Linked DNA regions of Saccharomyces cerevisiae S288C. The gene in region 1 interacts genetically with each later gene. Each region holds a gene or a part of one and is shown on either strand. Other genes may lie near its edges. The genes, in order: GRC3, RGI2, SLP1 and FRE3.

Region 1 (8,409 bases):
ACGTCTTCATTCAGTTTTCCAATAGTTTCAATCTTCCACAAAATAAAATTTCTATGATCAGGTATGATAATGTGATAATTAGGTGCCCCAGGAAAAACAAAGCTAATATATGCCTAGCCAAGAATGATTTAAAACAAATTGTTCAAGAATATGATAGTTTACAATCGAAGACGCTCATTAGATTTTCTAGTGGGCAATATAGACATATTTTGCATGTTAACGGCCAAAAGAATATTATAGGACAAATCGAAAAGAACGAAAATGTTTACATAATGATACCGTTAAAAGAGCCCTTGGATGGAACATCTCAATTGAGTATACAAGGAAATGATGAGAATGCATCAAGAGCCGCTAACGAATTGGTTAATAGTGCGTTTGGTTATGAATACGAGTTCAAAATAGATCAAGAGATAGATCCCAATAAAGAATACGAATTTTATAACCTAATTGTTGTTCCATTTTTGCAAATTATGAACATAATTGTAACTTTTGAGAAGGACCTTATCACTTTTACTTTTGAAAAGGATACTAATGAGAATACTCTAACAAAAGCAATCGAATTACTATCCAATTATTTGGAAACACAAAAGACGAAAATAATATTTAAAAAAATAATTAAAAAATTTGTTCTAGGGTCTGCCTCCAGCAAGAGTAACACCAGTAATAGCAATACCAATGGCAATTTCAGATCAATGAATAATGCCAAAAGTCGTACGACCATCGATAATACCAGCCAATCAGGAGCCTCACCACAACGCCACAAAATGCCTGTTATAACGACGGTAGGAGGAGCCCAAGCCATCAAAGGATATATACCAAACACTTATTACAACGGATATGGGTATGGATACGGATATACATACGAGTACGATTATAATTATGCCAACTCTAATAAAGCTCAAACCAATAATAGGCATAAATATCAAAATGGCAGAAAATGAGAAGGAAAAAAGTTCAGTAGTATTGTAACGTTCTACGCACCTTTTCAATGGATATGCACACCACAAAATATGTCATTGCGCATATCCGCATCTATTACAGTATTTGATTGATATTTTACCATACATACTAAAAAGCTCCGCTCCGCTCCTCTTTTACGATAATGATCTTTATAACCTTGTACCTAATGTCTCATTGAGATATATCAATGTTGTATCGAAATCACTAAATACTTTGAAAAGCGGAATCTTTTTCTTTTCGGTTTTATTTAGCTTAGTTAGCGGACTAGAAGTAGTTTTCAAATGAGAGAATTTGACGTCAAGCTCATCATGGCCTATTCCTCTATGCAAAATCGATCTGTACTTTTCATATTGCATTGTTAAAAGGTTCTTTAAAATTTGCCTGCAATATGTGTTGTCCCTTGCAATATCCCACTTTTGAACTTTTGTTTCGGGCAAGTATGAACAGCTCTTCAGAACAAATTCCAAGGTTCTTTGCATCTCAGTCACGGGGAGTATCCTTTCACAACATTTCGTGTTGCTGAGAAGCTCAAGATTGATTTTCGACCTCAAGCCATCAGGATTGAATACCAAGTATCGTTTGAGTTCGTAGTTTTCTTTCATAAACTTATATCGAACATAATCCCTGTAAGTATCTTTAACCATTTTCACATTCGATATGAAAGGCTTAAGCCTCATAAATCGGCGGTAAAATAGCTTAACAACTGTACTTCTCTCAGGTGAGTCTGCATCTAGCTTTTGAAAACGTGAAGGAAGTTGGTATTTAGAATGCGATTTAATAAGAGTATAGTCTGGAGTTATAATAGCTTTTGCTGTTGTTATCGTAATAGAAGGCTTACGCATTGTGTTATCCGCTTAACTGCGATTAACATGCATACGTATGATATACTCGAGCTAGTCTCATAAGCTTTCTTCATATATGGTTGTCATGGCAAACTTCGATGTTCGTCGATAGTGACAGGTTCCAAAATTTTTCATTCAGCTCATCGCATATTTTGGAAATTCAAACAATGATTAACAACCGATGTGTGAATTAATCTGCGAGTCAGTTAGAATAAAAGATCATTAGGGCCGATAATAGCTACGTGGTGGGAAGGCTGGAATAATGGTTAAAGTAAAGTCGAAAAAGAACTCATTAACAAGTTCTCTAGATAACAAGATCGTCGATCTTATCTATCGTCTCTTGGAAGAAAAAACTTTGGACAGAAAAAGGTCTCTGAGACAAGAATCCCAAGGAGAAGAGGGCGAGAACAACGAGGGTGAAGAAGATGAGGATATATTTGAATCCATGTTTTTCGCTAAAGATTTAACAGCAGGTGAGATTTTTACCTTTTGTTTGACTAAAGATTTATCACTTCAAAGAGTTAAGAAAGTTGTCTTACAAAAGACAATTGACCGCATGCTAAAAGACGTGATTGAATCAGAATTGGAAGAATTTGGTTCTTACCCAGGTTACAACAACGAAGAGGAAGAGAAACCAAGCTTGGAAGAAGAACTAGCTAAGAAAAATATGATGATTGAGCGAGACACAAATGAGATGAACAAACGCATAACTAGCACGTGGTCCAAATCTGGATCTGTTTCCGAGTCTATAACAGAAACTGATGATCCTAAGACAGAAGAGGTTAAAAAATCTAAAAAAAGATCCAAAGAAGGTACATGTAAGGTAAAACGTCAAAAAATCAAGGAAGATAGATCTCCACCTAATTCGTCTCTGAAATCCTTAGGTGGTATGGATGATGTCGTTGCACAACTTATGGAACTAATAGGTCTACCCATTCTTCATCCAGAGATATTTTTATCCACGGGTGTCGAACCACCTAGAGGTGTTCTGTTGCATGGCCCACCGGGTTGCGGTAAGACGTCGATTGCTAATGCGTTAGCTGGAGAATTACAAGTCCCATTTATATCTATTTCTGCACCTTCAGTCGTAAGTGGTATGTCTGGGGAAAGCGAGAAAAAGATTAGGGATTTGTTTGATGAAGCGAGAAGCTTGGCACCATGTCTTGTTTTCTTTGATGAAATAGATGCCATTACACCAAAACGTGATGGAGGAGCCCAAAGAGAAATGGAGAGAAGAATAGTTGCCCAATTATTGACCTCAATGGATGAATTAACGATGGAAAAGACAAATGGAAAACCTGTTATTATCATAGGTGCCACGAATAGACCTGACTCTTTGGATGCAGCATTGAGAAGAGCAGGTAGATTCGATAGAGAAATATGCCTGAATGTCCCGAATGAAGTCTCAAGGTTACATATTTTAAAGAAAATGTCTGATAACCTAAAAATTGATGGTGCTATCGATTTTGCCAAATTGGCAAAATTAACCCCAGGCTTTGTTGGCGCTGATTTAAAGGCTTTAGTTACTGCTGCCGGTACATGCGCTATTAAAAGAATTTTCCAAACCTATGCTAATATAAAATCCACACCAACTACGGCAACGGACAGTTCAGAAGATAACATGGAAATTGATGAAACAGCAAACGGAGATGAATCTAGCCTGAAGAACACTGCGAATATGATCGATCCGTTGCCTTTATCCGTAGTCCAACAATTTATTCGTAATTATCCTGAGCCTTTATCAGGAGAGCAGTTATCATTATTATCGATTAAGTACGAAGATTTTTTGAAAGCGTTGCCAACAATTCAACCAACAGCAAAGAGAGAAGGGTTCGCTACGGTACCTGATGTTACTTGGGCTAATGTAGGCGCATTGCAAAGAGTTAGACTTGAATTAAATATGGCTATTGTGCAACCCATCAAGAGACCAGAGCTTTATGAAAAAGTGGGAATTAGCGCCCCTGGTGGTGTTTTATTGTGGGGACCACCAGGTTGTGGTAAAACGTTACTAGCAAAAGCTGTTGCCAATGAATCTCGTGCAAATTTCATATCAATCAAAGGTCCTGAATTATTAAATAAATACGTTGGTGAATCAGAAAGGTCCATCAGACAAGTTTTTACTAGAGCAAGGGCGTCTGTACCGTGTGTTATATTTTTTGATGAACTGGACGCTTTGGTGCCAAGAAGAGATACTTCTTTGTCCGAATCCTCCTCAAGAGTCGTCAACACTTTGTTAACGGAATTAGATGGGCTGAACGATAGAAGGGGAATTTTTGTGATTGGCGCCACTAATAGACCTGATATGATTGATCCTGCTATGTTAAGACCGGGCAGATTGGATAAGAGTTTGTTTATTGAGTTACCTAATACTGAGGAAAAACTAGATATTATCAAAACTTTGACCAAATCACACGGAACACCTCTGAGTAGCGATGTTGATTTTGAAGAAATTATCAGAAATGAGAAGTGCAACAATTTTTCAGGCGCTGACTTGGCTGCTTTAGTCAGGGAGAGTTCAGTCTTGGCTCTAAAAAGGAAGTTTTTTCAGAGCGAAGAAATACAATCTGTTCTTGATAATGACTTAGACAAGGAATTTGAGGATCTATCGGTTGGCGTATCTGGCGAAGAAATTATTGTGACCATGTCTGACTTCCGAAGTGCATTAAGAAAGATTAAACCCTCTGTGAGCGATAAAGATAGACTGAAATATGATAGATTAAATAAGAAAATGGGTTTAACGGAGGAGATGAAGGATGCGGAAGAAATGAAACAATAAATTTATAAATAATATTTTGGTAAAGTCCCTAGAAGTTAGTATGACTTAGATATTGAAGGAATATGAGTATACATAACAAATATATAAAACTTTGCATGATTTTTGTGTATCCTCTATCTTTCACTATTAAAAAATGTACGATTACCTTTTCTTTCTATCTTTTCATGAATTGGCCACGTCTCATGACGTTCTTACGAACTTTCCACACATGTTCCAATTTTTTCCTTCTTTCAAAAGTTGCGAACGGTATTTGTATATTATCATCCCATGTAATTGTGCGGGGGGATGGAAGAAAGTCACAAAAAGGAGTTTCCGTCTTATTTCTTACTATTATCCATTGAGCATCCTCAGGTTGTTTATCTAAAATCTGGGTATGGCAAGGTGGCACGTAAATGTTCATTATTTGCTGGGAGGTGTCAATAGAGTGTATCAGCCCCAGAGTTATGAAATTTTTAGAAGAAGAAGTACACGATTGTAGGATGGGAAAGGTATTCAAGGATTTCACCTCTAGTGAGTCTTCTCCAGAATATGTATATATCCCAATGACAGTACCTTCCAATGCGGACTTGATATCTTGAGGATTCAGATCCTGGAATTCCATAGGAAATTGAATGCCTTTAATACCGCTTTTACCTTTGCCATATGAAATTTGCAAAGGTGCAGATTTTAAAAGAGGCGCAAAATCATAATCAAATTGAGTTATTTTATGAAACAGTGCCAGTATTTTGAATGTTCTCAGTTGTGATGCATGGAACCTAGAAGATAAGGTGTGGTTCAGACTATGGGCTGGAACGCGAACAACTTCAGGTGCATATGCATCTCGTAGTGATGTGGAAAAACTCTGTGGAATTGTTAGTTCATCCAGGTGTCTTTTCGAATTAGCTGTTTCCAAAAACAATAAGTGAGTGGGCTTATATTTCCTTATTATATGATTTAAAATCTGCATCCCGAATCCTTTTATCCACCCAGGTAGATTAAGCAATGACGTTCCGAAGAAGGCTTGCTCTTCCAAATGGTCTATAAGTTTATCAGCGCAGTTCAGGTATGATGTGGGCTCGTCCTGCGGGGAAGAGGAGCCAGCGTAGAACTGTAACAAAGTTTGGAAATTTGAACCTTGGCAGAGATGTTGTCCGAGAGAAATAGGGCTGGAAAGAATCTTATTCAGGGATATTGAATCAGGTAGTGAGTATTCAGGTTGACCAGGATCTAAATCCAGGTATACCAATTCTTCCTGGCTCGTAGTAGAATCTCGTATATCTTGCGTAAATTTTTCCAATAAAAGCCTCAAGAATGTAGACTTCCCAGAGTTTTTACCACCAATCACCATGATTCTTGTATCATACGCAGCGTTCTTGTGACTCAAATATAACTTCTCTAACGGAGTTGACCAATATCCCGGCACGGATAAAGATTGAATTCGGTCTGACTCATGTAATAAATGATACGTTGTTCTCTCGTTTAATGGAAAGTAAGGTTCTTTAGGTTTCCATAGATAATTAACATCCCGATATAAATGACCTGCTTCTAACAAGCCCGTATGATTAGAATTAAAAACGCGAAGAACACATGGAAATGATTTGAATTCTTCATCTCTAATTTTAAACCTGTTGTTTCTCGGCATAAAAAAAGTGTCTTGCCAGCCTGCAAAGTGCGAAAAATCTATAGTAGGTATGGACTGTGATAACGGGTGCCAGAAGGTTAAAATTTCTCTCGAAGCGTTATAGTGTACATTGTTGTAGACAATACCTCCTTTCACCACTTGCAGCCGGAAAACACCAGATAAATGTAACTTCTGTTTTTCTTTCAACCCCACAAACATAGTTTCATCTTCATCTCCTTCATACGTTATATTATCGATCAATTCAGCATCCAGCCCGTTCAAGTCATCACCTTCGTCGTCCTCATACTCTTCACTATTGAGAACTACGGTTGCACTTTTTGAAGATGGAATTGACGGAGATTCCACAATGAAATTATTACTTGAGTCTGAGTCCGATTCTGAACCTGAATCTTTGGTATATTGAGGTAGATCCTGTTTGGAATCTATCACCATAGCGGTAGAATATAATAGAAATGATTATCTTCTTCTCTCTGCCAAACTAAACTGCAGTCTTTCCTTATTTCAGAAGGGAAAGATCAGGAGTGGGGAACCTATACTACCTGCACTATAAGCGTGAATTAAGACAACTTAAATGCAACCTAAGCCTTAGGCGCAGAGCACTCGATGACTTGGCAGGAATAAATTTCATGTTGATAAATTTCGTACTTTTTCGGGTAGCAGCGGTGAAAAATTCGTAAGGGCAATTTTAGAAAGATGCAAACTTTCCAAGAAATATTAAAGACCAAAACATAGCCAAGAAAGCCAACTAGGGAACAATGCTTTGTGCTATTAGTGGGAAAGTTCCTAGAAGGCCAGTTCTATCACCTAAATCCAGGACTATTTTTGAAAAGTCGCTCCTTGAACAGTATGTTAAAGATACGGGGAATGATCCGATAACAAATGAGCCCTTAAGCATCGAAGAAATAGTGGAAATCGTACCTAGTGCGCAACAAGCCTCACTAACAGAGTCTACAAACTCTGCTACGTTAAAAGCGAATTATTCGATTCCGAATCTGTTGACAAGTTTACAGAATGAATGGGATGCTATAATGCTCGAAAACTTTAAGTTACGATCAACTCTAGATAGTTTAACGAAAAAACTGTCGACTGTAATGTACGAAAGAGATGCTGCAAAGTTGGTCGCTGCGCAACTATTGATGGAAAAAAACGAAGATTCGAAGGATTTACCCAAATCCTCACAGCAAGCGGTAGCTATTACGAGAGAAGAATTTTTACAAGGGCTGTTACAATCTTCTAGAGACTTTGTAGCGAGGGGCAAGCTCAAAGCACCCAAATGGCCGATTTTAAAAAATTTGGAGCTATTACAGGCACAAAATTACTCCCGTAACATCAAAACATTCCCATATAAAGAGCTTAACAAATCTATGTACTATGATAAATGGGTGTGCATGTGTCGCTGTGAGGATGGTGCTTTACATTTTACCCAATTAAAAGATTCGAAAACGATTACCACAATAACTACACCAAATCCCCGTACCGGGGGAGAGCATCCAGCTATTATTTCCAGAGGGCCTTGTAATCGTTTGCTACTACTATATCCAGGTAACCAAATAACTATATTGGACTCAAAAACAAACAAAGTCCTCAGAGAAATAGAGGTAGATTCCGCCAATGAGATTATATATATGTATGGTCACAACGAGGTCAACACAGAGTACTTCATCTGGGCGGATAATAGAGGAACCATAGGATTTCAATCCTACGAGGATGATTCCCAGTATATTGTTCATTCTGCTAAATCAGATGTTGAGTACAGCAGCGGTGTCCTACATAAGGATTCATTATTATTAGCCCTTTACTCTCCGGACGGTATATTAGACGTTTACAACTTGTCATCACCTGACCAGGCAAGCTCTAGATTCCCCGTAGATGAAGAAGCCAAGATAAAAGAGGTTAAATTTGCAGACAATGGGTACTGGATGGTAGTAGAGTGTGACCAAACTGTGGTTTGCTTTGACCTAAGAAAGGATGTCGGCACGCTAGCGTATCCAACTTACACAATCCCAGAATTCAAGACGGGCACCGTTACCTATGACATTGACGACTCTGGAAAGAATATGATTGCATACTCAAACGAGAGCAATTCGCTGACGATATACAAATTTGACAAGAAAACAAAAAATTGGACTAAAGACGAGGAGAGCGCCCTCTGTTTGCAAAGCGACACTGCCGATTTCACTGATATGGACGTGGTATGCGGAGATGGTGGT
Region 2 (7,221 bases), on another chromosome or scaffold:
CCACCCTATATACCTATAGAATTCTTGGAGAAATTATCAGAGTCTGATTTCAATGAGTTAATGAACCAAGAGAAGTTCACAGTTATTGAAATTAAAGAGAAAGGACAATTGGAAAAATTTGGAAGGCTAAGATGGACAGTTCTAAAAGATTTTATAAAACTGAAATGCCCCAAGCTATTAAGACTACAGGAAAGACAGTTTCTACAGCAACAAAACGAAGCATCTTTACTCAATGAATCTATGGACGCTCTAAAGATATCAGAAAATGAGAACACCAACGGGAGTGCAAATAATAGCACATACACAAATGGCGGACCTCGAACATCTATCAATAATACAAGGGAATTCTATGTAGGGGTTTATGAAGATCATGAAGAAGCAACTCTACTGAGGTTTGAATTACCGGAAGATGAATTAGAGGAGTTTAATAGAAATTTGCCAACTACTTTTGCACAAAGTGGAAACGTCTCTGACTCCGAAGGTGATAGCAAGGCGAAATACTTTAAAGTTAGCACAATTGTGTATAATGCCATTGTTGGGTTCCACGATAAAGAGCTGTCTGATTTGACGTTCGAATCCTTACAAGACCAGGAATATTCACTGGGGTACAAAATTCATGTAATGGAACTGCCACCATTTGACGAGGATGAATTTGAAAATCAACGGCAGCAGTTCTAAGCATGGATTAAGAGGATATTATTATTTTATCTTACATAAATATGTACGCGAATTGAAAAAGAAAAAAATATTGTGTAGAATGTGTATTAGGCAGTTATGTATGTAGACAATTTTGTTTTGTATTTTTATCAAAGTAAAGGCTGGAAAACCGGCTGTGGTAAATTGCCATTTTGAAAAGAATTTTTGTTCTTTGTAACGTATGGCGCTGGCACAGACTCGTTGTGGTCATTATTATTTGTGTTGGAGGTGGAGGTGCCAGTGTTTAAAGTAGTGTTGCTATTTTCTTCATTCATTGGCGATTTAGAGATCCTATTAAGGATGTTATCAAAGGCAGTTAAGCTTGATTTTTTTGGATCATCTTTTTCTTGTGGTACCAATGGAATAGAAGGCATAGAGGGGTTTTCACCTATGCATGACATTTTGGGCAACGTAATGGGCACTGGTATTTTTGCATCTTGTAGTGGAATGGTGGAAATGTCCTTAATTACGAGATGAATCTCGCTCGTGGAAAAGGAATCAAATAACTTTGCCAAACTTTCATCGTTCAAGAGGTTATCGTTATGGAAAATACCAAAATTCTTGTTCTTGTTGATAATATTAAATAAATTTTTACAGTTTTCCAAAACTTCAGACACCGTGGGTGGTCCATTGCTCAACTGGTGGAAAGTAAAGGCTTGCTCGCGATCATTAAATCTAATGATCACTCTGCGATTAACATCTTTATTGGCCGATTGAGGCTTCATTGGTAGCGTAGTTAAAAGTGTAGCTCTATTCGATAGAGTGTTATTATTATTCAACATAACGTCACTTGAAACGACAGGAGGGCTTCTCTTAACCCTCTTGTTAGGTGAAGATGATGGTGGTTCTGACGCACAGGAACTAGCCAAAGGATACTGAACCATCACAATATGATGTATGATTTCACTTAAAGGGTAAAGCGTGGGGTCGAAGCCAAAATCCTTGACAATACCACCTATGACCAAATACAGTAGCCTTAGTTGTACCTGAGCCGCGGGGAAATGAGATAAGTTATGTCTTGTAGCGGCACCGAACAGTCTTTGAGACAACAAAGCCAGATTTTCAGGAGAGCACGTCTTGGCAGTGATATACTTCATTGAAGAAGAGACCAAGTTGGAGAAAAATCGTTCGATAACGAATGCAATAGACATTCGGATTGACATTTCACCCAAAATCTCCAGATTTGCGTATATATCAATGGATCCTGCAGCCTGCGAAATGTCCTGACAAGTTCTTGATCTTTGGATTTGTAGGAGTAACTTTTCCCTCAGGAAAAATGGCACGGTAGAATCTATCGGGATGTTTGTGGTAATGTTAGGTTGCTGGCTGAGTGAAGACGTAGCAAAATGTGACAGGTTTGGCCCAGTATATGGGTCCTTGAGAGCTTGTTCTGATAGGGGTACGACATTCGTAACAAGATCGTGCACTAGCATGGTGACTATATCGTTATACTTTTGTTGGGTCGAAGTAACCGATGGAGATGAGTCATTTTGGGTGCCCACGGTTGGAAAAATGGTTCCGTTATGACTCTGGTGACTCATGAGAGGCTGGAACTTGTTTGAAAACTGGAAATCTGCAGCATAATTAGAACTAGGCAGGAAGTCCGAATTGGAGCGCTGGTAGATCGACGGAGAGATCTCGTCGTCAGAAGTAGAATTTGACGAGATGCTGTTGTTGACATTGCCGCCACTGCCATTGGCTATGCTGAGAGCGTAGCGTTTTTTTGATCGTTTTCTATTCCTTCTCACTGATTGCACAGCAGCAGTGACTAACTTTTCGAATTCCTTAGAGCAGCTTACAGGGTATCCAAACTCCGTTCTTAATATTGTAGCAATCTGCTTTATGTTTTGATCTTGTTCGCTTGCCTTATATTGACTTAGTTGGAATTTGTCTATCAGCTCCAGCCTTCTGCTCGAAAACTGTTTCCATTTCTTTTCATCATTAAAATTGAGTAATTCTCTAATCTTATGAGTTGCTCCATTCCCAGAAAACTTATTTATTCTATATTGAGTGAATGTTGGAGGACCGTTCATATGTGTATAGGATATAAGCAACGAAGAAGAATAGGTAGAAAGAGAATAAAGAAGGTTTTAAAGCTATAACTAGTAGAAAAGAAAAATGTAGGAAGGGAATGCGGATGCGTTTATGCTAAGATGCGATGGGGACAATAGAAAAAGAAGAGAAAAAAAAGGAAGAGGAAGAGGTAGTGGTATAGAGAAAGAGAGAGAAAAAAAAAGGCTAGTAGTATTTGTATAGTAGGGAAAGGGCTAGATTAGAACTGAACCAAGCTGACCTGAATTGACTCAATAACACCATTCTCACCCACACAAGTACCGAAGATCCAAAAGGCAAGAATCATGGAAGAGAGCACATTGATTTATAGTAAAAAAAAAAAAAAGAGAAGACGACGGTAGAAAGATTTCAGGGAACATATGGCTTACACTTATGCTGAAGAAGTAAGAGGGAGAAGCGAAGCAAATATAATCTGTCACAATGCACAGTGCGCAAACGTAATCTGCCCACTCAGCTAATAGCTCCTGCCATGATTCTGCTGCGTAGTCTATATGAAAGGAAACGAAGGTCAGAGATGAAAAAGAGATAAAAAAGAAAAGAAACTTCTCCGAGGGGCGCAGAATTCAGGGCAAAACAACATGGAATCGATCAAAAGTCATAGTCACCCACGGAAACGTGGCGCCTATTCCGTGGCAGCTACCCGCCCGCCGCTTGTTCTCAGGGCACTTGTCCACTGCATTCCGATGTTCCGCGGAAATTAGCACGGCCTCTTATCCCCGGCTCCGCACGATTCCCTGTGTCCGTGCATAACGAATGACTCTTGTGTCGTGTTATCCGGGCTTTCTCCTTTTCCTTTCCCCGAGAAAGCAACCGACGCATACGGATATAAGCGGATCCCACCGAAAAGGAGACTCCACGGTCTTGGTGAATAACATCGCGCAGATTATTCTGCGAACCGTGGCTAATAGGAGCATGCCCGAAGAAATGATTATGGGTGCGTGATCACCAATCTGTGTGAGGCTGTCGAAGATATCTGATAATCAGTAAGCGATAAAAAAAAAATAAAAATAAAAAAATAACGACACCAGCAGGATTTGAACCAGCGCGGGCAGAGCCCAACAGATTTCAAGTCTGTCGCCTTAACCACTCGGCCATAGTGCCTAAAACAATGTAGGTTATTTAAGCAAGTATTGTAGATACTTTTCGTAATAAACTACAATGCACCCACGACTCGCGGTGTAATGATGGCATGAAATCATTGAACGAAGTTTTGCGGCTATACGGCTGAAGGACGAGACTAAAGGGACAGGAATTATTAATGCGGGGTATAATTTGAATAGTATTAACGGGCACTGCCGTTTAGCCATCAAATGCTATTGTTGGGGTATTCTCTCTACTTTTTGTTCTTGGCTTGAACCTTTTCGGCGGTTGGCAATCGTCCGTATATAAGCATCGGCTGTCCCAATCCTCTATTGCCCTTTTCCCTTGCACCTCCTTCTCAATTCTTCGTATCTTTCGCGTAAAGGTAGATCTTGATTCACCTATCTGTCGAAACACGATTAAGTGCAAACGAAACAACGTACAGTATATAACAAAGTATTTTAAATAATAAGAATGACGAAAAAGGATAAGAAAGCAAAGGGTCCTAAGATGTCCACCATCACTACAAAAAGTGGTGAGTCCTTAAAGGTTTTTGAGGATTTGCATGATTTTGAAACATATTTAAAGGGTGAGACGGAAGATCAAGAGTTCGACCATGTCCATTGCCAACTGAAGTACTATCCACCCTTTGTCCTGCATGATGCGCATGATGATCCGGAAAAGATCAAAGAGACTGCCAATTCGCACTCTAAGAAGTTTGTTCGCCATTTACACCAGCATGTTGAGAAGCACCTGCTAAAGGACATCAAAACCGCTATCAACAAGCCAGAATTGAAATTCCACGATAAGAAAAAGCAGGAATCCTTTGACCGGATTGTTTGGAATTATGGCGAAGAAACGGAGTTGAACGCCAAGAAATTCAAGGTGTCTGTCGAAGTTGTATGTAAACACGATGGCGCAATGGTAGATGTTGATTACAAGACAGAACCCTTGCAGCCACTCATCTAAGTTTGGGGAGCTGTTTTTATGAATTAACGAAATTTTATGAATTTACGAAATATAGCATGCTATATAAAATAATTTATATGCGCATGTATTTTGGTGTGCACCTTCTTACTGGAGTGTATACAAGTCTACAAATCAACACATGTGGTTTTTTTAATGTTTTGTCGTCACAACGCGACCTTAAATAAAAGAATTCCACGCTAGATTCATGCTACTATCACGAACAATACGTACCAATTAAGCTTTCTTGGTGTAATAAAAAAAGAGAAATGTACACACCACCATGATTCCGTTTACGTCTTGCTTTTCTACTTGTTTCGCTCATGGGTTCTCATCAGCTCTATTGTGTGTGCCCTCTTTGTAGATAATTAAACACATTGAAAAAAAAGAAAACGAAAAGATGGCACACGGCTTGGTCATCGAGTGAAGAAATGAAACTTCAAAAAAATTGCCGGACACTTAAACCTTAACGAGTTATACAGAACCGTATCCAGACCTGGAGCTGGGCTATAAGAAGAAGCGACAATATGGTATACTAAATTTCTGGACTCGTAGTCACTCAGTCTGTTTGTCAGTAAGTCACGTAGACCTGTATCGGCAGTAACTATGGTATTTTTTCCAGATTAATTATTATACGATGTTGTTACTTCGATAAGGTCACAACAGGTTTTCCATTGTTGAGAAACTGACTTTGATTATTATTTAGTTAGTAGGCAACTGTCATGTTGCAACCACAACAAGCAACAATCCTTTCACCATGACTATTATAAGCGGCCGGCAAAATTGCCGGGAAAACTGCCAGGGATATAATGCAACCTTCATTTGAGCACTTAAAATAGAAGATAACGTTGGTAAACCCCCCTTGATAGTGGACACATCCTACGTAGATCTCTCTACAGCCAAGTCGTATATATAGCAGCAAATTGCAACCAACCACATGGGACATAGGAATGAGTGGTTTTCTCAGACCCTGAACGTGACCGTCCATCATGAATTTCTCCACAGTTTTTCAAGCAATAATCGCGGTTTTAGGTTTAACTACAGTCACAGCTTTAGCAGAATTTGATTTCGACGTAGGCTATGAAGAGTTTGTCCGTACCAATCCTGATACGATTTTCTTAGAGAGTGATATTGGCCTGCACGTTGGATATACCGAGGGTGGCGAACGACAGATAGCAACGATACCACACAATTCCACGCTAGGGACTTCACTACGTGAGTATAGTGGCTGTGGTGGTAATGGTACAGAAACCTCCATCGCTACCCCCGCACCTACAATGAGTGAGGTACCTATCGCTACCTTCGTGAAACGTAGAAAAAGTGTACCTATCTTGCTACCGCAGGTATGTATGTGAAGAGTTGGTGAATTTTGAGATAATTGTTGGGATTCCATTTTTAATAAGGCAATAATATTAGGTATGTAGAATGTACTAGAAGTTCTCCTCGAGGATTTAGGAATCCATAAAAGGGAATCTGCAATTCTACACAATTCTATAAATATTATTATCATCATTTTATATGTTAATATTCATTGATCCTATTACATTATCAATCCTTGCGTTTCAGCTTCCACTAATTTAGATGACTATTTCTCATCATTTGCGTCATCTTCTAACACCGTATATGATAATATACTAGTAACGTAAATACTAGTTAGTAGATGATAGTTGATTTTTATTCCAACAGTATGGGAGGTATATGAACCCCTACAACCACTCATTTAGAAGTGGGGGACTGTAGTTCTTTTATGAAGTAACGAAATTTTATGAAGTAACAACAAATGTTGTTAATTGTAATCTTAATAATCTAACATTTAATAAATCTTGACCTTAGACTTTTTTGTCTATTCATAATATGCTGATATTACTTTTCTTAAATATAAATATAATCTATATAATATTATTAACGAAATGTAGGAAGCTAAAAAAAAAAAAAAAAAAAAGAAAGAGACTTTTATGCGTATATTTAGGTACCCCGGTACTTACTTCTGTATATATAAATCAGTGAATCAATACATATTTTTTTTTAATGTTTTGTCCTTATAACGCGACTTATTCAAAAGAAAAAAAGAAGTCCCATGCAAAAATCTTGTCATTATTGCGAATGGATATATCAGTGAGACCTTTTTAAGGTTGTAGGGAAAAGGAAGTACGCTTCATTACAATTTCGTTCATGTCTTGCTCGCCTACTTGTTTTGCTCATAAATCCCATCAGCACCATTGTATGCGCCCTTCGTAGGAAATTAACGCATCTGAAGAAAAAAAGAACTGCAAGATAATGACACACAGCACGGTCATCGACTGTCGAAAGGAAACCTTAAAAAAGTAATCGGCACCTCAACCTTGATGAATTATAATCTATCCAAGTATCCAGACGACGTGTCGAGACTTTTCAAGCCAAGGCCAC
Region 3 (8,551 bases), on another chromosome or scaffold:
TCAATAAAGTCTGTGTTTTGGATGATGGTTATCAGATCTACTATGGCCCCGCCGATAAGGCCAAGAAGTACTTTGAAGATATGGGGTATGTTTGTCCAAGCAGACAAACCACCGCAGATTTTTTGACCTCAGTTACAAGTCCCTCTGAGAGAACCCTGAACAAAGATATGCTAAAAAAAGGTATTCATATACCACAGACCCCGAAGGAAATGAACGATTACTGGGTAAAATCTCCAAATTACAAAGAGCTAATGAAAGAAGTCGACCAACGATTATTGAATGACGATGAAGCAAGCCGTGAAGCTATTAAGGAAGCCCACATTGCTAAGCAGTCCAAGAGAGCAAGACCTTCCTCTCCTTATACTGTCAGCTACATGATGCAAGTTAAATACCTATTAATCAGAAATATGTGGAGACTGCGAAATAATATCGGGTTTACATTATTTATGATTTTGGGTAACTGTAGTATGGCTTTAATCTTGGGTTCAATGTTTTTCAAGATCATGAAAAAGGGTGATACTTCTACATTCTATTTCCGTGGTTCTGCTATGTTTTTTGCAATTCTATTCAATGCATTTTCTTCTCTGTTAGAAATCTTTTCGTTATATGAGGCCAGACCAATCACTGAAAAACATAGAACATATTCGTTATACCATCCAAGTGCTGACGCTTTTGCATCAGTTCTATCAGAAATACCCTCAAAGTTAATCATCGCTGTTTGCTTCAATATAATCTTCTATTTCTTAGTAGACTTTAGAAGAAATGGTGGTGTATTCTTTTTCTACTTATTAATAAACATTGTCGCGGTTTTCTCCATGTCTCACTTGTTTAGATGTGTTGGTTCCTTAACAAAGACATTGTCAGAAGCTATGGTTCCCGCTTCTATGTTATTGTTGGCTCTATCCATGTATACCGGTTTTGCTATTCCTAAGAAGAAGATCCTACGTTGGTCTAAATGGATTTGGTATATCAATCCGTTGGCTTACTTATTCGAATCTTTGTTAATTAACGAGTTTCATGGTATAAAATTCCCCTGCGCTGAATATGTTCCTCGTGGTCCTGCGTATGCAAACATTTCTAGTACAGAATCTGTTTGTACCGTGGTTGGAGCTGTTCCAGGCCAAGACTATGTTCTGGGTGATGATTTCATTAGAGGAACTTATCAATACTACCACAAAGACAAATGGCGTGGTTTCGGTATTGGTATGGCTTATGTCGTCTTCTTTTTCTTTGTCTATCTATTCTTATGTGAATACAACGAGGGTGCTAAACAAAAAGGTGAAATATTAGTTTTCCCACGCAGTATAGTTAAAAGAATGAAGAAAAGAGGTGTACTAACTGAAAAGAATGCAAATGACCCCGAAAACGTTGGGGAACGTAGTGACTTATCCAGCGATAGGAAAATGCTACAAGAAAGCTCTGAAGAGGAATCCGATACTTACGGAGAAATTGGTTTATCCAAGTCAGAGGCTATATTTCACTGGAGAAACCTTTGTTACGAAGTTCAGATTAAGGCCGAAACAAGACGTATTTTGAACAATGTTGATGGTTGGGTTAAACCAGGTACTTTAACAGCTTTAATGGGTGCTTCAGGTGCTGGTAAAACCACACTTCTGGATTGTTTGGCCGAAAGGGTTACCATGGGTGTTATAACTGGTGATATCTTGGTCAATGGTATTCCCCGTGATAAATCTTTCCCAAGATCCATTGGTTATTGTCAGCAACAAGATTTGCATTTGAAAACTGCCACTGTGAGGGAGTCATTGAGATTTTCTGCTTACCTACGTCAACCAGCTGAAGTTTCCATTGAAGAAAAGAACAGATATGTTGAAGAAGTTATTAAAATTCTTGAAATGGAAAAATATGCTGATGCTGTTGTTGGTGTTGCTGGTGAAGGTTTAAACGTTGAACAAAGAAAAAGATTAACCATTGGTGTTGAATTAACTGCCAAACCAAAACTGTTGGTCTTTTTAGATGAACCTACTTCTGGTTTGGATTCTCAAACTGCTTGGTCTATTTGTCAGCTAATGAAAAAGTTGGCAAATCATGGTCAAGCAATTCTATGTACTATTCACCAACCCTCTGCTATTTTGATGCAAGAATTCGATCGTTTACTATTTATGCAACGTGGTGGTAAGACTGTCTACTTTGGCGACTTGGGCGAAGGTTGTAAAACTATGATCGATTATTTTGAAAGCCATGGTGCTCATAAATGCCCTGCTGACGCCAACCCAGCTGAATGGATGCTAGAAGTTGTTGGTGCAGCTCCAGGCTCTCATGCAAATCAAGATTATTACGAAGTTTGGAGGAATTCTGAAGAGTACAGGGCCGTTCAATCTGAATTAGATTGGATGGAAAGAGAATTACCAAAGAAAGGTTCGATAACTGCAGCTGAGGACAAACACGAATTTTCACAATCAATTATTTATCAAACAAAATTGGTCAGTATTCGTCTATTCCAGCAATATTGGAGATCTCCAGATTATTTATGGTCGAAGTTTATTTTAACTATTTTCAATCAATTGTTCATCGGTTTCACTTTCTTCAAAGCAGGAACCTCGCTACAGGGTTTACAAAATCAAATGTTGGCTGTGTTCATGTTTACGGTTATTTTCAATCCTATTCTACAACAATACCTACCATCTTTTGTCCAGCAAAGAGATTTGTATGAGGCCAGGGAACGCCCCTCAAGGACTTTTTCTTGGATTTCATTTATCTTCGCTCAAATATTCGTGGAAGTTCCATGGAATATATTGGCAGGTACTATTGCTTATTTTATCTACTATTATCCAATTGGATTTTACTCCAACGCGTCTGCAGCTGGCCAGTTGCATGAAAGGGGTGCTTTATTTTGGTTGTTCTCTTGTGCTTTCTACGTTTATGTTGGTTCTATGGGTCTGCTTGTCATTTCATTCAACCAAGTTGCAGAAAGTGCAGCTAACTTAGCCTCTTTGTTGTTTACAATGTCTTTGTCTTTTTGTGGTGTTATGACTACCCCAAGTGCCATGCCTAGATTTTGGATATTCATGTACAGGGTTTCACCTTTGACTTATTTCATTCAGGCTCTGTTGGCTGTTGGTGTTGCTAACGTAGACGTCAAATGCGCTGATTACGAATTGCTAGAATTCACACCACCATCCGGTATGACATGTGGGCAGTACATGGAACCATATTTACAACTAGCAAAGACTGGTTACTTAACTGATGAAAATGCCACTGACACCTGTAGTTTCTGTCAAATATCTACAACCAATGATTACTTAGCTAATGTCAATTCTTTCTACAGTGAGAGATGGAGAAATTATGGTATCTTCATCTGTTATATTGCATTCAATTATATCGCTGGTGTCTTTTTCTACTGGTTAGCAAGAGTGCCTAAAAAGAACGGTAAACTCTCCAAGAAATAATAGAATTTTGAATTTGGTTAAGAAAAGAAACTTACCAAGATGGACTTTTTTAATAAACATACATAATCACTACATATAGGTGCGTAATAATAAGTTTTTATTTTTTTTTTCTTAATTCAGCGAGCTTTCTACATTTCAATTTTCTTGAATTTACCAGCTCTGATAAATCAAAGTTCAATGTCCGAAAGAATTCCGAGAATTTTATTCCTAGGTTATCTCATCGGTACTTTTTTTTTATAGGCATCAGCATTTAGTGTGAAAACATTATTTCTTAACTGTGCCTTACGGTTAAAAAGAAAGGACGCAATGGATATAGTTAAAATATAAGATATATTATATCATTATCTGTCCGAATGGCGAACCGTCTTCTCATATACGGCCTTATTTTGTGGGTAAGTATAATCGGATCTTTTGCATTAGATAGGAACAAAACTGCTCAAAATGCGAAGATTGGTCTACATGATACCACTGTGATCACGACTGGAAGTACAACGAACGTGCAGAAAGAACATTCCTCACCACTATCCACCGGTTCTTTAAGAACCCATGATTTTAGACAGGCCTCTAAAGTTGACATACGGCAGGCTGACATACGGGAAAACGGTGAGAGGAAAGAGCAAGATGCACTAACACAGCCTGCAACACCAAGGAATCCGGGCGATTCGAGTAATTCATTTTTATCGTTCGACGAATGGAAGAAGGTCAAGTCGAAGGAGCACTCATCAGGCCCTGAACGTCATCTTAGTCGAGTGAGGGAGCCAGTCGATCCCTCTTGCTATAAAGAGAAAGAATGCATAGGAGAAGAGTTGGAAATCGATTTGGGGTTTTTGACAAACAAAAACGAGTGGAGTGAAAGAGAAGAAAATCAAAAAGGATTCAATGAGGAAAAGGACATAGAGAAAGTTTACAAAAAAAAATTCAACTATGCATCCTTGGATTGCGCTGCAACAATTGTCAAAAGCAATCCAGAAGCGATTGGAGCGACTTCTACGTTAATTGAGAGCAAAGACAAGTATTTACTGAATCCCTGTTCAGCTCCGCAGCAATTCATTGTTATAGAGCTTTGTGAAGATATCCTGGTGGAGGAAATTGAAATTGCTAATTACGAATTCTTTTCCTCGACCTTCAAGAGATTTAGGGTGTCAGTTTCTGATAGAATACCGATGGTTAAAAATGAATGGACAATATTAGGAGAATTCGAGGCAAGAAATTCAAGAGAACTACAAAAGTTTCAAATACATAATCCCCAAATCTGGGCAAGTTATTTGAAAATCGAAATTCTATCCCATTATGAGGACGAATTTTATTGTCCCATATCCTTAATCAAAGTATATGGTAAATCAATGATGGATGAGTTTAAGATCGATCAACTAAAGGCTCAAGAGGATAAAGAACAATCCATAGGAACTAACAATATAAACAATTTGAATGAACAAAATATCCAAGACAGATGTAACAATATAGAAACGCGTTTAGAGACTCCAAACACAAGCAATCTCTCAGACTTAGCTGGTGCATTATCATGTACTTCAAAGCTCATCCCTTTGAAGTTCGATGAATTTTTCAAGGTGCTTAATGCATCCTTTTGTCCTTCCAAGCAAATGATATCTTCTTCTTCTTCTTCGGCTGTTCCTGTAATTCCAGAAGAATCCATTTTTAAGAACATCATGAAAAGGCTGTCACAACTGGAGACAAATTCTAGTTTGACAGTTTCTTACATTGAGGAACAGAGCAAACTGCTATCTAAATCGTTTGAACAACTTGAAATGGCGCACGAAGCAAAGTTCAGTCATCTTGTCACGATATTCAACGAAACAATGATGAGTAATCTAGATCTGCTGAATAACTTTGCCAATCAATTGAAAGATCAATCTTTACGTATATTAGAAGAACAGAAACTGGAGAATGACAAATTTACTAACCGTCATTTATTGCATTTGGAAAGATTGGAAAAAGAAGTCAGTTTTCAAAGAAGAATTGTTTATGCGTCATTTTTCGCCTTCGTAGGGTTGATATCCTATCTATTAATAACGAGAGAGCTTTACTTTGAAGATTTCGAAGAGAGCAAAAATGGCGCTATTGAAAAGGCAGACATTGTTCAACAAGCAATCAGATGAATCCTAGAGGGCCCATAATCATAATTCTAAGCATAATTCATTCAAGATGAAAAAATCCACCGCCATATATGAGGTGTTTCTATAGGAAATATCTATATACTTTTATAGTCCTAATTTCATTTTACATAAACTGTTTTAATCAGTTTCTAATAATCTATGAAGATAATTCACTGTTTCTTGAGGGGATGCTATCCAGAGGGTACATCCAGCTAGCCTTGCCTTAAAATCATTTGCTGATCCCACCGGTGCAAACTGATCGCCTACGTGTAAGGTTTCAGAGGGTTGGATAGGAGATTCAGGGTTATAAAATTGTTGCAATGAACGAACACCAAGATCTTTCCCCCCAATATCACACCAGACATCACTACCACCATCAAAACAACTAAATTGAATTCTTCTAGATGGGGCAAAAGACTCTAAAGTGTTTTGAAGGGTTAAAACTATTTCCTCCAGTTGTTCCCTATCAAGCTTAACAGGAACTTGTCTTTTAGAAGCTTCATCGTACCGTTCGCCTGGGACGATACCCACTGCCCTGACTTTACGGATAATAGAAATCTCTGAAGGTAGGTTTAGTCTTTTTCTTAACCTGTTAAGAGTTCTCTCGGCAAAGTCCAAAGTCTTTTCCACGTCCTCGAGGGACCAAGCCTTCATTCTAGGCAATAGCCATTCCTCTTTGTCAATTTGTCTAAAGCCAAAGTTATCTTCCTCCGGGTCTTCATAGTAACGGAAAAGGTAACTCGACTCACCACCCATTATTGTTAAATTCTGCTTTTGAGAAACTGGTATATCAGTTGAATCATGTAATGCAACAATTAATCCTTTCAATCTGTTCTCATAGGTTCCAGCTTCATCATATCCGGCCGCAGTGACTATTCCCACATTGATACCGCACCGCAACAGCTTGAGAATATAAGGAATTACAGGATTAGTGTAAACCAGGGAGCCACCATCTTCATACAGCGTCACATCTCCATCAAAAGTCACTAATCTCAAAACCTTACCATTATGTAAGTTCTCCTGTTTCTTAAAGTGAAATATCTGTGCAGTATTCAGGATATGCCTGATATCATTAAAACTGGGTGCTACCATTCTACGCGCCGAAATGGCCCGTTGTGAGTCTTCCCATAGAAAAGCTTGTTCCAATGGAAGTTCCGTAAAGAATGTTCCAATTGATGGAACCAAAAGATTTAAACGCGATTGTCCTAATATATTCAGAGATTGAGAAGAGGCGCCATCTTCAATTTCGTCTTGGCTCATGTTTCTTGAGTCAAATTCTATTTTATCTTTAATCAGCCCTTCAATGTCTTTAAAGATATCAGCATACTGCGACCTTACACGTTGAGTTGTTGCTAAGTCGTCATTGTAGTCACCTTCATGAGAGACGGCATGTAGAACAAAAGGTGAGGCCAGTAGCCCCTTTACCCAATCTATAAACTCATCCTTGCGGTGGCTCTTCAAATGATATTCCACTCTATATCTTGAGGACATTGCTATTATAAGTTAACTCACGATCTTTTGTTACTTTCTTTGAATAGTTTTCTTTTCTTAGTACATTCCTTTACCTTTTAAATTTTGTTAATTTAAGGGCGGCCTGTCCCGCTAAACGTGGGAAGTGAAAGGACATGAAATATTATAGTGTAATACAGGAAGTATACAGAGAAATCTATAGAAACCTATCACTGCAGATTCGCACACTACACCCATGAAGTAACCACAGTAGTAAAAAAACATAACAAAAGTCGTAATATTTATCAAAACAAAAACATCATTTACGCCCAAAAGTGGAAGTCAATATTAAGAGCGAAATGAAACAATAGAAATAAAAATAGAATACAATCGGAAAGGAAAGAAATCAAAAGACGGTTAATCAATCTGATGTTAAATCGACCACTTCCGAGTTATCTTGAGCCGATGTGTTAAAGTCATTAGTTTGGGCCAGAGTTTTATTCATTATGGCGTGATTTGCCTGTGGTCTCCGTTTCATAAGGGTGGCGTATGGATTCTTCGGAATGTAGATAGAAACATTAGAATGCCTTCTCTTCCTAATTTTTCCATCATCCCCATGGCCGCTGGTGCTCACGTGTATATATGGAGGGAGATGTGCCGCCGATGTGGTCCTTGTTGGTAGTTCAGTTTCTGCTTCTGAATTTGGGTCCACAGGGGGGATTGGAGGCAAATCACCTTCGATTCCCAAAAGATTACGATCTTGAGCTGTGGTATTGTAATTAGGTCCGTAGGGGTTTCTCTGCGCTTCCGTTTGATTAGTCAAATTTTGTAGAACAGCCGGTAATAGTGGCGTTGATGGCCCTCTATTGTAGAATATTCTGCTGTCACCATTCGTCGCCGTAACGAAAGAATTAATACTGCTATTGTTCGTCGGTGTGTCATTTATATTTGTAGTAGCGCCTTGGTTCAAAAATGACCTCATTTGAAAAGCATCTTGATAATTATCTTGGTCCATAGTTGGAGAACCTTTCGGCGTTGATGTATGATTGGGGTTGTAGTCACTGGATCCTTCCGATTCTGAGGGAAATATATCTGCTCTTAATTGGTCATTACGGGGGTTCACGTGCGTTGGGAAGCTTTTACTAGCCGGAATAAAGGCTTCATCATCTGAGCTATCCAGAGATATTATTTCGGGTTCGTTGTGGTTTGAACCATTACGCAAATTAGTATCGAAGGCATTTCGGCTGTCATAATCTTGCTCTTGTTTGACAGTGCCTTGGTTCTCGTTTTTCACACTGTGATTTTGGTTAACAGTATCCGTTATAACGGCCGAACTATTATGAATCGGTTTCCATGAGCCATCAACAGATATCTCAACTTGCTCAACATCTTCATTGCAATTTTGAATAATATTATCTACAAATTCGGAAATCTTCAACTGGTCGAATTTTATAGGGTGTTGACAAATCGGACACTGCCATGTAGGGACTTGTGACTGAGAGTGAAGAAACCAGAGAGCATCAAAACATTGGATATGCTTACATTGGTCAGTCTTCGCCGGATACTTCATCCTTGTACAAG
Region 4 (8,799 bases), on another chromosome or scaffold:
AATTTTGTTCGGTCTCGGCTATATTTGGAAGAAAAATAGCCAGTACATACTTTCTACCACTTTCGCTCAATTATCAATAAAAACATTTAATCGAAAGTCATTCAAACTGAAAACTTCAAAAGTCATTTTTTTATTGCTTCCCATTCCAATCACAATTATGCTTTGAGCCAATTTCAGTAAAACTTTGAAAATACGTAGGCGCATCGCATCGCCTAACTTAATTCGCGGTTTAACTAGCTTCCTCCACCAGTTCCATAAAAAAATGATGGATCAGTGCAAAAAAATTTTATCATAAATCTGATGAAGTATACTAAGCTGAATAAGCTGTAGGCCTTATTTGCTTTTTTCATACCCTTGGTTGGTACGACAGTAAAGATTGGCAGGTTCGGAGATACAACTTTTTTTGAGGCTTAGAATGCTCGGCCTGCATAAAATGGCGTTAAAGTTGCGCACAGGCCCCGGAAACCCTGCCAAGGAATATTACATAAGTTGCAACATCTTTTTCCAATACATGGTTAGAGAGTTTTTAATCGTTATACTTTTTTCTCATTTGATTAAAAAATATAAAATGAATTGCGAAATTCTTCTAGAAATGCGTTACTATTTTACGGTTGGCATTGCAAGATTATTATAACTACGAAGCAGTGTTGGAAAATATCATCTGGGAAGAAATTCCTATTTCTTGGGAAGAATTACATGTGCATAAAAAGATAAAACCCTCGATCACCCAAAATTGACTTTGCGACTAAAAAGTGATTTTTTCAGCATATTGCATTTCAAAAAGTCGTTGTTTAGCACAACTCATAGAAAATAAATACTAGTATGATTCGGGAATTATTTATCAGTTAATTATAGGAGTACAGCCTTTTATAGAGTTGGCGAAGATAGCCAAAAGATAAAAGCTTTGACGTACGTCTGTAAAAAGTGCCTTTTCTGATCGAATCCAGTTGCTCAGATATCCGGGAAGTTGTTAGCATTCATTGCTTTTCTGCACTATATCAGCATATGAATGCTTTCAGTATTTTAATTTTACCCTTTCACGAAGTACGCCAGAAAATGATTGGAAACGTACTCAAAAACAAAGCAGGAAATAAGCGACGAAAATTTTTCATTTCAATTAAGAGGTACTGAGCGGCTACTTAACTTTTTCTGCAGTAAGTAATGACAGAGTATCACTACAGAATTCTGTGCCTCCGGTCTGGGAATGCAGCTAGGGAGACAGCACCCTTTTGCTAATAATGCGCCGGAAATGAAACATTTAGATAAAATCTAAAGTTACGAAAACAATACACTTTGAGGGAAAGATATCAGAGAATTAAAAGCTGCAAAGAACTATGACAAATTAACCGCTTTGTTGACCCTAGATCATAGTTTACACTGCGAACGGGATAGTTGCAACCTCTTTTGTAAAATGCACCCATATCTCATTTTGCCTTTATTTCGGGTGTATAATAGGAGAAAAATTTGAATGGTAAAGAATAAGTCCCTTGCGAGTGTCAAGAGAAGCACAATTATTATTACTATTGGTGACGTGATTGAACTCGAGAATTTTCCTGGACCGATATTTGAGTTTTACGTGGAATGTGGGTGTACCTCATCTCAAAGAATTGGCGAAAAGCCAAACTTCTTAATTCTAACAAAAGCTACTGATTCGTTGGCGATGAAAGACTCTTTTTTTTGGCTGTCAGAAGCTTTCATCTTTGACATAGATGTACAGAATTTGATCAATTGTTTATATTAAAAGATTCGTCGCAACTTATATAAGGTGGCAAGAGAATGATTAACTTCAATTGCTGATGAACGTTCTCAATTCAAAAATTATAAGACACAAGGAAAACAATGTATTGGGTCCTCCTTTGTGGTTCTATTTTGTTATGCTGCTTGTCAGGAGCAAGCGCCTCCCCTGCTAAGACAAAAATGTACGGCAAGTTACCACTGGTTTTGACAGATGCCTGCATGGGAGTTCTCGGCGAAGTAACCTGGGAGTATAGTAGTGACGATTTATATTCCTCACCAGCATGTACATATGAACCGGCATTACAGTCAATGTTGTATTGTATTTACGAATCATTGAATGAAAAGGGTTATTCCAATAGAACCTTTGAAAAAACCTTTGCTGCTATCAAAGAAGACTGCGCATATTACACTGATAACCTTCAGAATATGACTAATGCAGATTTCTATAATATGCTGAATAATGGAACAACATACATAATACAGTATTCTGAAGGTAGCGCGAATCTTACGTATCCAATCGAGATGGATGCCCAAGTGAGAGAAAACTATTATTATTCTTACCATGGTTTCTACGCCAACTACGACATTGGTCATACTTATGGTGGTATTATTTGCGCCTATTTTGTAGGTGTTATGATTCTTGCCAGCATACTCCATTATCTAAGTTACACTCCGTTTAAAACTGCCTTATTTAAACAAAGACTTGTAAGATATGTGAGAAGATATTTGACAATACCTACTATCTGGGGTAAACATGCGTCGAGCTTTTCTTACCTTAAAATTTTTACAGGCTTCCTTCCCACACGATCTGAAGGCGTCATTATACTTGGATACCTCGTGCTTCATACAGTTTTTCTGGCATACGGGTATCAATATGATCCTTACAACTTAATTTTCGACTCTCGTAGAGAACAGATTGCTCGATACGTGGCAGATAGAAGTGGTGTCCTGGCATTTGCACATTTTCCCCTAATAGCTCTTTTCGCAGGAAGGAACAATTTTCTAGAATTCATTTCTGGAGTAAAATATACCTCTTTCATAATGTTTCATAAGTGGTTGGGAAGAATGATGTTTTTAGATGCTGTGATTCATGGCGCTGCTTATACCAGTTATTCCGTATTCTACAAAGATTGGGCAGCAAGCAAGGAAGAGACATATTGGCAATTTGGAGTAGCTGCTCTTTGTATAGTTGGTGTTATGGTGTTTTTTTCTTTGGCAATGTTCAGAAAGTTTTTCTATGAAGCCTTCTTATTTCTCCATATTGTGCTTGGCGCATTGTTCTTTTATACGTGTTGGGAGCACGTCGTAGAATTGAGTGGGATTGAGTGGATATACGCTGCTATTGCTATCTGGACTATTGATAGGCTAATTCGAATTGTTAGAGTATCTTATTTCGGTTTCCCTAAGGCTTCCTTACAGTTAGTTGGCGATGACATCATTCGAGTCACAGTCAAACGACCAGTAAGGCTATGGAAAGCCAAACCAGGACAGTATGTTTTCGTTTCATTCCTACACCACCTGTATTTTTGGCAGTCACATCCTTTCACAGTCTTAGATTCAATTATCAAAGATGGTGAGCTGACTATTATCCTGAAGGAAAAAAAGGGAGTAACAAAACTTGTCAAAAAGTATGTGTGTTGCAATGGAGGTAAGGCATCTATGAGACTAGCTATAGAAGGTCCATATGGCTCTTCATCTCCAGTCAATAATTATGATAACGTCTTGCTACTTACGGGAGGTACTGGTTTGCCAGGGCCCATTGCACACGCCATTAAACTTGGAAAAACGTCAGCGGCAACTGGAAAACAATTCATAAAATTAGTGATTGCAGTTAGAGGGTTTAACGTACTCGAGGCTTACAAGCCGGAGCTGATGTGTCTAGAAGATCTTAATGTACAGCTTCACATCTACAATACAATGGAAGTTCCGGCATTAACTCCTAATGATAGTTTGGAAATTTCTCAACAAGACGAGAAGGCCGATGGAAAAGGTGTTGTTATGGCAACTACCCTAGAACAGTCACCTAATCCAGTTGAATTTGATGGTACTGTTTTTCATCATGGAAGACCCAATGTTGAAAAGCTTCTGCATGAAGTTGGTGACCTAAATGGATCGTTAGCTGTGGTTTGTTGTGGGCCTCCTGTTTTCGTTGACGAAGTAAGGGATCAAACGGCAAATCTTGTTCTAGAGAAGCCTGCAAAGGCAATCGAATACTTTGAAGAATACCAAAGTTGGTAATCAATTACCTTATTTATTTCCTCACTATTTTACCTATCACAAGTATATATTTAATTGTTTTGACCTGAAACATAATTTATGTCTAGCTGCAATGAAGACAATTGATCGACTTTCACAAACTTTTTCAATCTACTAATCTTTGGAAGCATTTTTTAACTGTCTCCCACTCTTGTTCCATGACTTAAATTTCTCTTCCTCCAAATTAACTGAATTTTTTTTCTGGATTGATGTTCTTTCCAATTGTTGTGGTAATCCACAGCTGGTATAACATAAAAAGAAGTTTTTTGTAAAAAAAAAAAATTTCTCAGTAAGCATATAAGCCTCAGTGAAATAAAATTTTAACAACTACACGCTATTCTATTCCATTTGCCCTGCTTTTCTCGCTTCGTTATCACCTAACCACTAAGAACATACTAATAATACAAAATTTTTATCCACTTTTTACCAACAGATTTTCATGAAATATCCATCTTCTTTCCGAATTCTGTATAAAATGAAAGAGAGATTTTTTGCTCTCAATCCAGGCTCAAGGCTCTTGAGAACAGGTAATTGTTGTTTAGCACGTTTTCAACACATTTATCAGAAAACGACAGTTAAAAATAAGACGAGCGGCGTTATCATCCTGATAGTCACTAAATGAAAAGCAGGTACTTTTGAAGAGCACATGTAATATTTGCTCAACTGATAATACCTTCATTTTATACACACTTCTAATTTTTTTTTTAAAATCAGATACGCATTGATGTTCAATGTAGCATTACCATCACAAGACAAAAAATCAGAATTTTACAAGCAAAAGCGCTTATCTTTAAGGACCAACATATTAGATGAATTCTTAAGGGTTGCCAAAACGCAAGACAACAGGCAAAATAATTTCGTTTCTCAGTACCGAAATGACGAAATATACTGAGGCAAATGCGATCATCATGCCTTTGCGCCAAGAAACTCCCTTGTGAAGAACTTCAAACCGAAATGGGAAAACTTTGAGTTATTGACAGGGAATACGGAGGGGAAGATCACACTTAAATCCGTATGAGCCGCGCACATAATGGTATTCAAATACACAAGAACATTCATGAGCTATTTTTCATCCGTGCAAACGAATTTACTACAATTGGACCAGAGGGCACCATAACTGGAGACTTTGCTACTGACTCAACGTTGATGATGCGAGTAGTGGGTGTACTGTGATTTGCTCATTTTTTTTTTTATAGAAAGATTCGATTAATGAAAGTCACAGGAGACATTTTTACATAGACATTCCGTATATGTTGCGGGTATCGCGGATGCGGATTAGTGATGCCTTTAACTACATTTCATAGATTTCTGTATACCAATTGAAATGAGTGAAGTAAGCTCCTACAGTGAAATATCTGGGTGCTACTGACGCCAAGCCCTACAGCGATCGGAATGCGGGAACGGAAGTTAACGGGGCTTCCAGAACGGCGGAAGCGAATTGAACGAGGACGGCAAACAAAAACACCCAAAATTTCATTACTTAGAATGACCCTCAAGAGCAGGGTGCAATTTATCAAGCGATCATTGAACTAACTAAGTTCATATCCTGTATAGGATTTAAAACAATGCACCCTAAGTTCAAATGCACCCCCCCTCGCCCCGCAGCGGACCCTTGAACAGAGAACTGTTTCGAGGTTCACCCAATTGGATCACTTGTATAATTTGTAATCGAGTTCGGATAAGATGTATACGAATCTAACTGGGTGCAGTATAATTAGCATTTTATATTACCTAGCAATATATGTATAAAACAGGAATGTGTGCGTGCTTCAGGCAGAATTTTACGGTCCTTGTAAAAAAGTCTATCATAAAGCCATCACAAAACAATAATAATGAAATTCTCAACTATTTTCGGAGCTACTACAGTTATGACTGCCGTCTCGGCAGCAGCTGTGTCGAGTGTAATGACCACTAAGACTATTACTGCTACTAACGGTAATAACGTTTACACTAAGGTCGTTACCGACACCGCTGACCCTATCATTAGTTACAGTACCACTAGAACTGTCGTTGTCAGTAATAGTGATGCTACTTACACAAAGGTTGTCACCGAAGGACCAGATACCACCTCTGAAAAGAGTACAACAAAGACACTTACTTTGACAAACGGTTCAGGTTCATCAACCAACCTTTACACCAAGACCGTCACTCAAGCCGTCGAATCATCTACATCCTCCTCATCCTCCTCATCCTCCTCCTCCTCTTCTGCCTCTTCTTCTGGTGCTGCTCCTGCTGCATTCCAAGGAGCAAGTGTCGGTGCATTGGCCCTTGGTTTGATTTCTTACCTATTATAAGCTCGGTTTCAAACCAGAAAAAAGCTATTAGTTATCGTGTATAGCATATTTATAACTTATCTATGAAAAGCTAATATAATTGTCTTTCTCCTTCAAAAGGCTAGTAAAAAGGACTTTTTTTCATTACGTTTCTCAGTGACTTCAATGTAGCAGTTTTTCGTTTCATCATCATCATCGTATTATTATTATTGTTATTATTATTATTATCATTACTTTTATTAATATTAACTATTTTTTTAGTATGATTTCGGGTATATTTATTTTAATTAGATACTTTTAACCGTTTCAAACAATTAAAGGAAGACCAACGAACTTGAAACAGTATATATACATACATACTTAATGTGTGTTATTAAAATTTTTTTATTCTAACATAACTTCGAAAAAAGGCCAAGCCGCAAGGTGCTTCATAAAAATCGGATATCCCGCATGATTATTCACATATCATTTACAATAACATGACGGCAGCAAGGGCAGCACCCATCAAACCAGTACCAGCGGTGATGGCATCAGCAGCACCGGTGTAACTAGATAATTCAGCGGTGCTAGAGGATGTAGCAGAGGAAGAAGTTTCAGCAGTGGTGGTTGCAGTGGTTGAAGCAGAAGAGGTAGCAGCTTCTGAGCTGGTAGAAGTACTACTTGGAGACCAGGTGTTGCTGCTGCCTTCACCAGTCCAGACAAAAGTAGCATCTTGGGTGACAGTCTTAGTGTAGACGTGACCGTTCTTGGTGGCAGTGATAGTGGTAGTGATACTAGAACCAGAACCTTCATCAGCAGAAGAAGTCTCAGCAGCAGAAGAAGTCTCAGCAGCAGAAGTGGTAGCGGCAGCAGAAGTGGTAGCGGCAGCAGAGGTTTCGGCGGCAGAAGTTTCGGCGGCAGAAGATTCAGCGGCAGAAGTGCTGCTGGCGTAAGAGTCTTCACCACCCCAAACAAAAGTAGCATCTTGGGTGACAGTCTTAGTGTAGACATGACCGTTCTTGGTGGCAGTGATGGTGGTGGTGATACTCTCAGCAAGAGCAGTAGCGGCAACAGCAGATAGAACCAAAGCGGAAGAGAATTTCATTTTAGGGATTATTGTTATTAGTTATTTTTAAGCGAGTGGAAGTACTTGTTTGTATCTGTTCGAACATTCATATTACCTCCTAATACTTCAAATAGTTCTTGGCTTAAATACCCCATAAATCAACTTTTACAAAAAAAAAAATAACAAATCTCGAACGATAATTGAACCCCATTTTTTTGCACCCTTTCCTAGAATGGCGGAACTCGGCTCTTGAGCCCTTAGATTGCTTTCCTTCACATACATCAAAAAATATGGGATAGCGGGGTGCGGAACAAACAGGGTGCAAAAAAAAATCTAGGACATAGGTAGGACTAAGAAGACTGTGGCATTACTACACAGCAATCATATTTTACCGCTTCCTCGTTTAATTGGATTTTTACTTTTCATTACATTAGCGATCATTAAAAAAGGAGCGTCAATTTTTTACTTGGCAAATGTGTAATGTAGCGTTTTCGGTATGTCACATCACCAATTTTGTCGCAGTTAATTTAATTCACCCAGATTTCGAATGCTTTTCGCTAGATTAGTGCTGCTGTTGGTGTATTTGGCACCAGGTTCTTTAGCAAAACCAGCATCAACTAAGAAAAGAACGCAATGGGACCAGATAGCAATTGATGCTTGTGCTAAAGAATTGGAATCACACAAATTTGACACGGATGTGAAGGGTCGGCACGCTACTCTTTGCACTTATGAACCAGCACTAGGGTCTTGGTTACATTGCGCGAAGGATGTTCTCGACAGTAGGAAGAAAAGTAAAAAAATATTCGAAAAAACGTTTAGCAAAATTAATCAGTATTGCCACGATTATCACAAAGATGAGGTCGTCAGCAATGAGGAGTATTATCGAATTTTTGCCAATGCATCCCTTTTCATCCGGCCTCTTGATGAGGTAAAGGAAAACATACGATATCCCGTCACTCCCAATAAAGCCTCTCTAGATAGGTGGGTATGGGCTTATTTTGGGCCCCTGGATAATATAGACAAAGGAAATGTTTATGGAGTGACGATTTGCTTATACTGGATAGGAGTTCTGTTTATTGCAGCTGTATATCACTTCTTGAACTTTTCTCGACTTAAACAAACGGTGTTCAAAAACAAGGTGTCTGCTTTCTTAAGAGGCCACTATGTTCTTCCAGCGCTTGTTCATAACCATGCTATGTCAGTGGGAAGGTGGTTTTTCATCGGTCTGGTCCCTACCAGGTTAGAGACCCTTGTCCTATTCGGTTACGTTTTGTTGCACGGGTTCTTGTTGAGTAGTTACAATTTTGACCATAATGAGTTGCTCAGTGATCGCAGAAGCCAAGTGCTTATCTTCCTTTCCGACAGGGCAGGGATCCTGGCATTCGCACATTTTCCTTTGATAGTTCTCTTTGGCGGTAAAAACAGCACAATGACTTGGCTCACAGGTATAAGATATACCGCATTCATTACTTACCACAAATGGTTAGG

Evidence for each region.
Region 2: mutations in GRC3 (region 1) and RGI2 together harm fitness more than expected from each alone (negative genetic interaction), as found in Saccharomyces cerevisiae (one large-scale study listed by BioGRID).
Region 3: mutations in GRC3 (region 1) and SLP1 together harm fitness more than expected from each alone (negative genetic interaction), as found in Saccharomyces cerevisiae (one large-scale study listed by BioGRID).
Region 4: mutations in GRC3 (region 1) and FRE3 together harm fitness more than expected from each alone (negative genetic interaction), as found in Saccharomyces cerevisiae (one large-scale study listed by BioGRID).

What each region holds. Positions count from the first base shown.
Region 1 is NC_001144.5:66,802-75,210, reverse strand, and holds GRC3 (polynucleotide 5'-hydroxyl-kinase), read right to left. Parts: upstream 6,632-8,409; coding exon 4,733-6,631; downstream 1-4,732. Other genes in the region: YLL032C (uncharacterized protein), read left to right, coding at 1-941; IRC19 (Irc19p), read right to left, coding at 1,110-1,802; putative AAA family ATPase RIX7, read left to right, coding at 2,065-4,578; E3 ubiquitin-protein ligase PRP19, read left to right, coding at 6,955-8,409. UniProt on the Saccharomyces cerevisiae protein: Polynucleotide 5'-kinase involved in rRNA processing. Required for the efficient termination by RNA polymerase I and the processing of the IST2 pre-rRNA internal transcribed spacer localized between the 5.8S and 25S rRNAs.
Region 2 is NC_001141.2:245,499-252,719, reverse strand, and holds RGI2 (Rgi2p), read left to right. Parts: upstream 1-4,323; coding exon 4,324-4,818; downstream 4,819-7,221. Other genes in the region: YIL055C (uncharacterized protein), read left to right, coding at 1-678; VHR1 (Vhr1p), read right to left, coding at 807-2,729; YIL059C (uncharacterized protein), read left to right, coding at 5,805-6,170; YIL060W (uncharacterized protein), read right to left, coding at 5,894-6,328; U1 snRNP complex subunit SNP1, read left to right, coding at 7,161-7,221. UniProt on the Saccharomyces cerevisiae protein: Involved in the control of energetic metabolism and significantly contribute to cell fitness, especially under respiratory growth conditions.
Region 3 is NC_001147.6:620,969-629,519, forward strand, and holds SLP1 (Slp1p), read left to right. Parts: upstream 1-3,760; coding exon 3,761-5,524; downstream 5,525-8,551. Other genes in the region: ATP-binding cassette multidrug transporter PDR5, read left to right, coding at 1-3,407; ISN1 (IMP 5'-nucleotidase), read right to left, coding at 5,660-7,012; SUMO ligase NFI1, read right to left, coding at 7,392-8,551. UniProt on the Saccharomyces cerevisiae protein: May be involved in membrane protein folding. Required for localization of MPS3 to the nuclear envelope.
Region 4 is NC_001147.6:1,053,706-1,062,504, forward strand, and holds FRE3 (ferric-chelate reductase), read left to right. Parts: upstream 1-1,839; coding exon 1,840-3,975; downstream 3,976-8,799. Other genes in the region: YOR381W-A (uncharacterized protein), read left to right, coding at 4,718-4,885; FIT2 (Fit2p), read left to right, coding at 5,826-6,287; FIT3 (Fit3p), read right to left, coding at 6,736-7,350; FRE5 (putative ferric-chelate reductase), read left to right, coding at 7,859-8,799. UniProt on the Saccharomyces cerevisiae protein: Siderophore-iron reductase responsible for reducing extracellular iron prior to import. Catalyzes the reductive uptake of Fe(3+) bound to di- and trihydroxamate siderophores.